Macaca mulatta: one gene and its partner. The protein of the gene in region 1 purifies or fractionates together with the protein of each later gene. This does not show direct contact. Links are inferred from orthologs where the notes say so. Each region holds a gene or a part of one and is shown in the gene's direction. Other genes may lie near its edges. The genes, in order: EXOSC4 and HBS1L.

Region 1 (3,979 bases):
GCTGATACTGTGCCACAGCACTCCAGCCTGGGTGACAGAGTGAGACTCCATCTCAAAAAAACAAAACAAACAAACAAAATGACCCAGTAAGAACAGGGACAGGAAGAGCTCAGACTGCAAGGGGAGAAGGGCCTGGGCTGCTCCACAGTACGCAGTGTCTGGCTGCAGAGCCAAGGGTGGGGAATCGGTGGTGGCCAGTGGCAGAGGATAGTGGCCTATCATGGCCTCATACCAGCTGCAGCAGCAGGGCTGTGGCTTGCTCACTCATTCTCATGCCTCTCAGTCTTTCAGGAGAGCATAACCACCTCTAAGGGGATGCTGAACTTGGGCCCCTGCAGCAGACTGCATTTCCCCAGCCCACCTGCTGTTCCTACAGTCTAATATTGACACTCCTCCCACTGAAGGGTGGGGTCCCTGTCCCCATCCCTTAAGCCTGGGTAGATGTGTCTGACTGCCTTGACCCACAGAGTCTGGCAGGAGGGACACTATGTGACTTCTGAGGCTAGGTTCTAAAAATATCATGCACATGTTGTCCATCTCATTGTCCTGGAAGGCTACCCTTGGAACCCAGCTGCCATATTGCAAGGAAGCATGGAGAAGCCACAGGTAGGTGTGCTGCCTGACAGCCACAGATGAGGTCCTGGCCAGCCACCAGCATCAGCCACCAAAGATGTGAAAGAGAAAGCTTTAGGATGGCTCCAGCCCCAGCCACCATCTGGCAGCAACTGTAGGAGAGAGCCTACGTGCAAACTACCTAGCTGAGCCTAGATAACCCAAGACTGCAGGATATAATAATAGAATGATTGCTATTTGAAGCCGCTGAGGTTAAGTGGCAAGAGATAAACAGACACACAACCCCTCTCTGGAAAGGATGAGGAAATCTGCAACCTCAAAAGGAAAAGGGAGGCCCACTCGACTGCAGTGTGGAAGCTCGGTGTAAAGGGAGGGCATGAGAGGACTGGAGAGGTGCCAGGTGTGGACCATCCTCGGACACCAGCCTGGTCACTTTTCTAGGACCGCTCAATGCCTTCTCCTGTCAGTGTCGCAACCCACTGGGTTCATCCTTCCACTTCCACACTTGGGGCGCGGGGAAGGGCTGAATGTGGGCACCACTGGTCCCGAGGGCGTGACGGGAATTTCTCCTTCGGCGGGCGCCCACCTCCTGGCACCCGTGGCACAGCTCCGGGAACGGCTGCGGGCTCAACCGCTGCTTCCCCGACAGCGCCACCGCAGTTCCCCGGAGACAGAAGTGAAGCCGAACCGCCAGAAACCGTAGATCCAGGGAGGTCGGTGCCGCGAGGAACTCCAGTTCCCCGGGACCGGAAGTGACAGCGGACCGCCGGAAACCGTAGATCCAGGGAGGTCGGGACCGCGGGGAGCTGTAGCTCCCCGGAACCGGAAGTGATAGCGGACCGCCGGAAACCGTAGATTCGGGGAGGTCGGAGCCGCAGGGCGCTGTAGTTCTCCCGCGAATCAGAGAACTAGGCAGAGAGCGGAGCTGGCGGCCGGGCAGCATGGCGGGGCTGGAGCTCTTGTCGGACCAGGGCTACCGGGTGGACGGTCGGCGCGCCGGGGAGCTGCGCAAGATCCAGGCTCGGATGGGCGTGTTCGCGCAGGCTGACGGCTCGGCCTACATCGAGCAGGGCAACACCAAGGCGCTGGCGGTGGTCTACGGCCCGCACGAGGCGAGTGGGCGTGCGGGATGGGAATCGCGTGACCGCGGGATCTGCGGGGCAGCCGGGCTGAGCACAGGTTCGGGGACTTGAGAGGTGCGGCCGGCGCGCCTCAGTCTACACAGCCGATGCTCAGCACTGCATCTCACTCGGAGTAAATGCAAGTCTTTAGTGTGCTGCGCGGTGGTCCTGCCTTTCTCATCGGTCTCTGTGCCTGCGCTCTCCCTCCTCTTTGCGGCTCTTCAACGTGCCAGGCACTCCCCCACTCGCTCCCTCTCCTCTCAGCTCTACTCCGACGTCACTCCTTCCCAGACGGCTTTATCCATGCGGTACTTCTCTCCCTACAATAAACCCTTGTCTTTTGTGCATCTACAATCTCAAATGCCTATTTTGCTTAAGCATTTTCCCGTTTCCTCGCTAGAACATAAGCTTCCTAAGGACAGAAACTACATAAAACTCTCTGGTTTCATTGCTGTGTTTCCAGCGCTGTAACTGTGCCTGGCCAGTGAAGGTATTGAAAGAGTGTTTGTTTAGCGCATGAGGGTAGGAGCTCTGCTTTCCAGGCGGAGGGAACCAGGAGGGCGAAGACCACGGTGGTGAAAACAAGCAAGGCACTTATGCATAACAGAAAGACTGCTGGTGGGGAAAGAGGGGATAACTCTAAATAAGGTTGAGAGTTCCCGGGGAGGTGAGGAATTAGGGTTTTGTAGACCAGGGAAATGATTTGGGATTTTATATCATATGTAATGTGAAACCTTTGTAAGGTAATTAGGATTTGAGTGTGAAGGTGAGACAGAATCAGCCTTGATGTTTGTAAACTTGGGTTGGCAGGGAATGGGGCAAGGATGGGCACAAGGAAGCCAATTAAAAGATGCCAGAGGGCAACACATGCAAGACAGAGAGTGCAAAACAGGGGGCTTTGTTTTGGAGGTAATGTAGTTGCCCCTTGCTGAGGCATTGAAAGTGGAGGGAGAGGCAGACCCACAGAGGACAGTGGCGTGTGAGCTGGAAGGAGTGGGCCTGGCTCATGTGTCCGTCCTCTTCCAGATCCGGGGTTCCCGGGCTCGAGCCCTGCCGGACAGGGCCCTAGTGAACTGTCAATATAGTTCAGCGACCTTCAGCACAGGTGAGCGCAAGCGACGGCCACATGGGGACCGGAAGTCCTGTGAGATGGGCCTGCAGCTCCGCCAGACTTTCGAGGCAGCCATCCTCACACAGCTGCACCCACGTTCCCAGATTGATATCTATGTGCAGGTGAGCCGGCTGCAGCGTCAATCCAGGGAGGGGTGGGTGTGATGGGGTTGGGGAGAGAGTCTGATAGACTCACACCCTGGGGTCCCTGCAGGTGCTACAGGCAGATGGTGGGACCTATGCAGCTTGTGTGAATGCAGCCACACTGGCAGTGCTGGATGCTGGGATACCCATGAGAGACTTTGTGTGTGCGTGCTCAGCTGGCTTTGTGGACGGCACAGCCCTGGCGGACCTCAGCCATGTGGAGGAGGCAGCTGGTGGCCCCCAGCTGGCCCTGGCCCTGCTGCCAGCCTCAGGACAGATTGCGCTGCTTGAGATGGATGCCCGGCTGCACGAGGACCACCTGGAGCGGGTGTTGGAGGCTGCTGCCCAGGCTGCTCGAGATGTGCACACCCTCTTGGACAGAGTGGTCAGGCAGCATGTGCGTGAGGCCTCTATCTTGCTGGGGGACTGACCACCCAGCCACCCATGTCCAGAATAAAACCCTCCTCTGCCCACACAACCCTCACTGTACGTTAATCACCCAACAGCACTTCAGAGCCATGTGAAGCCTGGCAGAGCCTGGTCTGGTGCTGGCTCCTGGGGATGACCAGGGCCCCTCGCCCACACATGAACTGCCTATCTCTGTGTAGCCTAATTCAAACCCTGAAGAGAACAGTGGATTAGGGGGTTGCTGTGGGGGAGGTCCTGGGTGGAAAAAGCAACATGTCCCAGTAAGGACTCAAGGCAGCTGAGCAGGAGGCAGGGCCTGGCAAGATGAGCCAGGTCATTGGACTGAGGAATCTGTTACCCTTACTCTGGCACATCCAGGGCCCTGAGCAAAGGGCTGAGGGAGAACTCAGCTGGCTCTGAGTACCCAACCTAGAGATGTGGGGGCCATGTCCCATGGCCTCTGGACTATGGCCTGGAGCCCCTTGGGCTTTTCCTGCTGCTTACCTTGGGCTCTAAAAAATACAACAGCCAGGCATGGTGGCTCACACCTGTAATCCCAGAACTTTGAGAGGCTGAGGTAGGCGGATTGCTTCAGGTCAGGAATTTGAGACCATCCTGGCCAA
Region 2 (3,815 bases), on another chromosome or scaffold:
GACTTAAGCATTCATAGATTTTGGTATCCACAGGGGTTGGGAGGTCTGGAACCAATCCCTCACTGATACTGTGGGAAACTGTAGTTTTCATTGCATTTACCAAAGAATACAATATAGTTTTGATTTCTCCTTATATGTGTATATGTATGTGTGTGTGTATGTCTGTGAGTCTTTTTCTTTTTTTTTCATTGATTACTTACTGAATCCTGGCTGTGTAGCAAGCACTGAGGTAGCAGTGTGGGCATACAATGCCTACAAAGCACTGATAGTTTAGTGAGTGAGACAAACACCGGAACAAGCAGTTATAGTAAAAATGCTTTTGAATTCTAGAACCTTAGAGTGCATAGTTATTATAAAGATCGTTTATTCCAGACCCAGGGATGGAGGCTAACACCCGTAATCCCAGCACTTTGGGAGGCTGAAGTGGGCACATCACTTGAACCCAGGAGTTCAAGACCAGCCTGGGCAACATGGCGAAACCCTGTCTCTACTAAAAATACAAAAAATTACCTGGGTGTGGTGGCAGGTGCCTATAGCCTCACTTACTCAGGAAGCTGAAGTGGGAGAATCACCTGAGCTCAGGAAGTTGAGGCTGCAGTGAGCCATGAGGGAAGGGAGTAAGACCCTGCCTCAAAAACCAAAAATCATTTATTCCAAACTCTTTATGGAATTATGGTGGGAAAGGATTTTAGAGATCATCTAATTGAATTCCATTATGTAACAAATAAATAAAGAGACTCAAAGATGTTAAGTAACTTGCCGAGTGTGCAAAATATTGCAGTGGGCTTTGGGGACACAAAGAAGCATACGAGGCATGCTGCCTCACCTCAGGGAAATCACAGTGTAGAAGACGACACGTGAAGATGAAAGGCTAACAGTTGCACTCCAAGAACAGAGAAGATACGCGTTGTGGAGAGAGATCACTTTATTCTGCTTGATCATCAAAGGCTTCCTTGAGAATGCATAGTAGGCATTTGGACTCCCAAAGGCAAGAGCTGCTGCCTAGAAATAATATTAATAGAGAAATTGCCCAGAAATGTTTTGGAGATGGTAATAGGAAGATTAGATAGAACATTTGTGGCCTTATGTATCTTAATACCAATTCAATGAATTTTACATTTTAACCTAAGAAGGTAAATATAATTTTACAGTTATTATGAAAACCTAATGAGAAAAAGATTGTCAATTACTGAGCCTAGGACTTGGAAGTTCAGGTATGGATGTTCTATATAAACTATATTTACTCCCTAGTGTTTCTATGAAGTAAGTAAGTTGATAATGCAGAGAGGCTAGACAACTTGCCTGAGGTGTGGAGAACGGTTATTGACTACAAGCATGCGTGAAAGAGCCAATTTTCAAATTGATTGTTTCAGTGTATGCTTATTCTTATCTAAGAATCCTTGATCAAAAGAACTGTATCTCATTGAGGAAATAAGTGTTCAGCTTTATAAAATATGAAGGATTGGAAGTGAAGATGGCACTTAAGAGTAGAGACAAAGCAAGAGTATTTACGTACGAGTAAAAGGAAGCAGGAATAGTGTAAATTATCCCACCAGACAAAGTATATGGATGGTACTTCAATTTAAATTGTAATGTTCTATTGTGAGAAAATATCTGAGACATTCCTGACATATTTTATGACCATTTATTTTCCATTATGGTGAGGATTATATATGATATCTGAAATTCTTTAAAAACTGGAGAGCACAGAAATAAAGGGGTCGTTGGGGAAGCAACAAAGAAACAAGCTGTTGTGGACTCTGTTCTGACCAGAAAGCGGGAGAACTCAATAATGTGGATGGAATATAAGAGGACCCTAGAGAGAAAGTGATTATTGTGTAACAGTCCAAGATAGCTAAAGAGGGGAAGGGGAATGCCAGGTGTAGTCTTTGTTTCCTAGATTTCAGAAAAGTGGATTTCTGTGACAAACAGGTATGCATACAAAGCACAAGCTGTAAAAGAGAAAATAAAAGTGTTCTTTAAAAAATGCCCCTACAGTGCATTGACAGAAATAATTGATTAGAATGAAAAGGGGGAACGTCTGTGGTTGCTCAGACTGTCTATTGCACATTTTAAAAGGCTGTACCCACATGATGCAAGCGGCATCAACACAAAAGAATAGTGGGAACCTGTAACGTTAGTTTCCATAAGGCTAACAAAGAAACTGAGCTAAGCTAAGGTTAGCTTTCTTCTTGTGTGGGGTGTGTAATTTGAGTCTGAAAGAAATGTCTTTCTATCTGATTCACAAGATGGTCCACACAGGTTAGAAAACTTTGTTATGCAAGGCTTTTTTTCAATAGCTGTAGAGGATGAATATGCTGCTTTTTGATAATTCATATATTTGTTATTTTTCTTCATTATAAACAATACTCTGATGAATATCTTTGTAGATCTATAATTATTTCTCTGGGATAAATTCCTAGAGGTGGAATTGATGGGAAGTAAAATATGTATAATTTTTAAGTTCTTGATACTTTTCGTGAAAATACCCCCTGGAAGGTGGTGTACCTACAGTCCCGTAAGCAATATTTGAGAATGCGCTTCTCACTGCACCCTTGCCTACAGCAAATAATTTTGTCTTTTAAATCTTTAACAATGTGATTTGTAAAAATGGGAGAGGGGGAATATGTCAATGTGTTTTTATTTTACTTTTTAAAACTTTTGGTTTCTACTGAATTTGAATTTTTTTCATGTTTGTTGACCATTTATATTTCTTTAGCAAATAGCTTGCTTGTATCCTTTAAAGCTATGTCTTCTTTTTTGTTTTTTTTTGTAAAGACTCTATAGAGATTATAACTTTTACCTTATGTGTTACTAATGTTTGTCCCTCCCTGTTTACTGCTTTTTGTTTTTTTGAGACGGAGTATTGTTCTGTCGAGTAGGCTGGAGTGCAGTGGTGCGATCTCAGCTCACTGCAACCTCTGCCTCTCAGGTCAAGTGATTCTGATACCTCAGCCTCCCAAGTAGCTGGGACTACAGGTGTGCACCACCACACCTGGCTAATTTTTGTTTTTGTTGCAGAGATGGGGTTTCACCATATTGGCCAGGCTGGTCTTGAACTCGTGACCTCAGGTGATATGCCTGCCTTGAGCTCCCAAAGTGCTGGGATTACAGGCATGAGCCACTGTGCCTGGTTGCTGTTTATTTATGTTTTAATTTTGTTTATATTTTTCCTCCTTTGCTTAGATATTTTAATTGTTATATAATCAAATATGGCCATTTTTTCTTGGTCTTTATGTCATTATTTTTGGTGACTTTTATTTAAAATTTTAATCCATTTTTGGGAGTCTTTTGTTTGATTTGTTTTGATGGGGGTAGTTAGGGTCTTCCTTTAAAAATTTGACAACATAATTAATTGAATAATCTGTCCTTTGAATTAAAATGCTGAAACATTTTTTCTGGTTTCAATTATTTTTCTTCTTTAGGCGGATGTAGCTGTTTTAGTTGTAGATGCCAGCAGGGGAGAGTTTGAAGCTGGATTTGAGACTGGAGGACAAACACGAGAGCATGGACTCTTGGTCCGTTCTCTGGGAGTGACGCAGCTTGCTGTTGCAGTTAATAAAATGGATCAGGTATTTAAAGGCTTTGTGAAGATTTGTTTAAGATGCTAATTAAGATGTTATTCTGCTCATATAGATGACCTCAGATGTCACTAGTGTTTATTTTATTAGTCAGTTGCCATGTTTTAAAAAATAAATTCTCTGCTCTCATCTTAAAAGAGGTGCTAGTAATTTTTAAGCAAGAACATCTTATTTTCAAAATTAATTTTTAAAACCTAAAAATTGTTTTAAATTATAAAATAATAGATGTTTATT

The links.
Region 2: the proteins of EXOSC4 (region 1) and HBS1L purify together in Homo sapiens (affinity purification with mass spectrometry; 3 studies listed by BioGRID and IntAct, with this or other methods). This does not show direct contact. The link is inferred for Macaca mulatta from reciprocal best matches to the Homo sapiens genes EXOSC4 and HBS1L.

What each region holds. Positions count from the first base shown.
Region 1 is NC_133413.1:154,461,082-154,465,060, forward strand, and holds EXOSC4 (exosome complex component RRP41), read left to right. Parts: upstream 1-1,395; 5' UTR 1,396-1,514; coding exon 1,515-1,685; intron 1,686-2,720; coding exon 2,721-2,927; intron 2,928-3,018; coding exon 3,019-3,378; 3' UTR 3,379-3,420; downstream 3,421-3,979. UniProt on the Homo sapiens protein: Non-catalytic component of the RNA exosome complex which has 3'->5' exoribonuclease activity and participates in a multitude of cellular RNA processing and degradation events.
Region 2 is NC_133409.1:40,072,254-40,076,068, reverse strand, and holds part of HBS1L (HBS1-like protein), read left to right. Parts: intron 1-3,425; coding exon 3,426-3,572; intron 3,573-3,815. UniProt on the Homo sapiens protein: GTPase component of the Pelota-HBS1L complex, a complex that recognizes stalled ribosomes and triggers the No-Go Decay (NGD) pathway.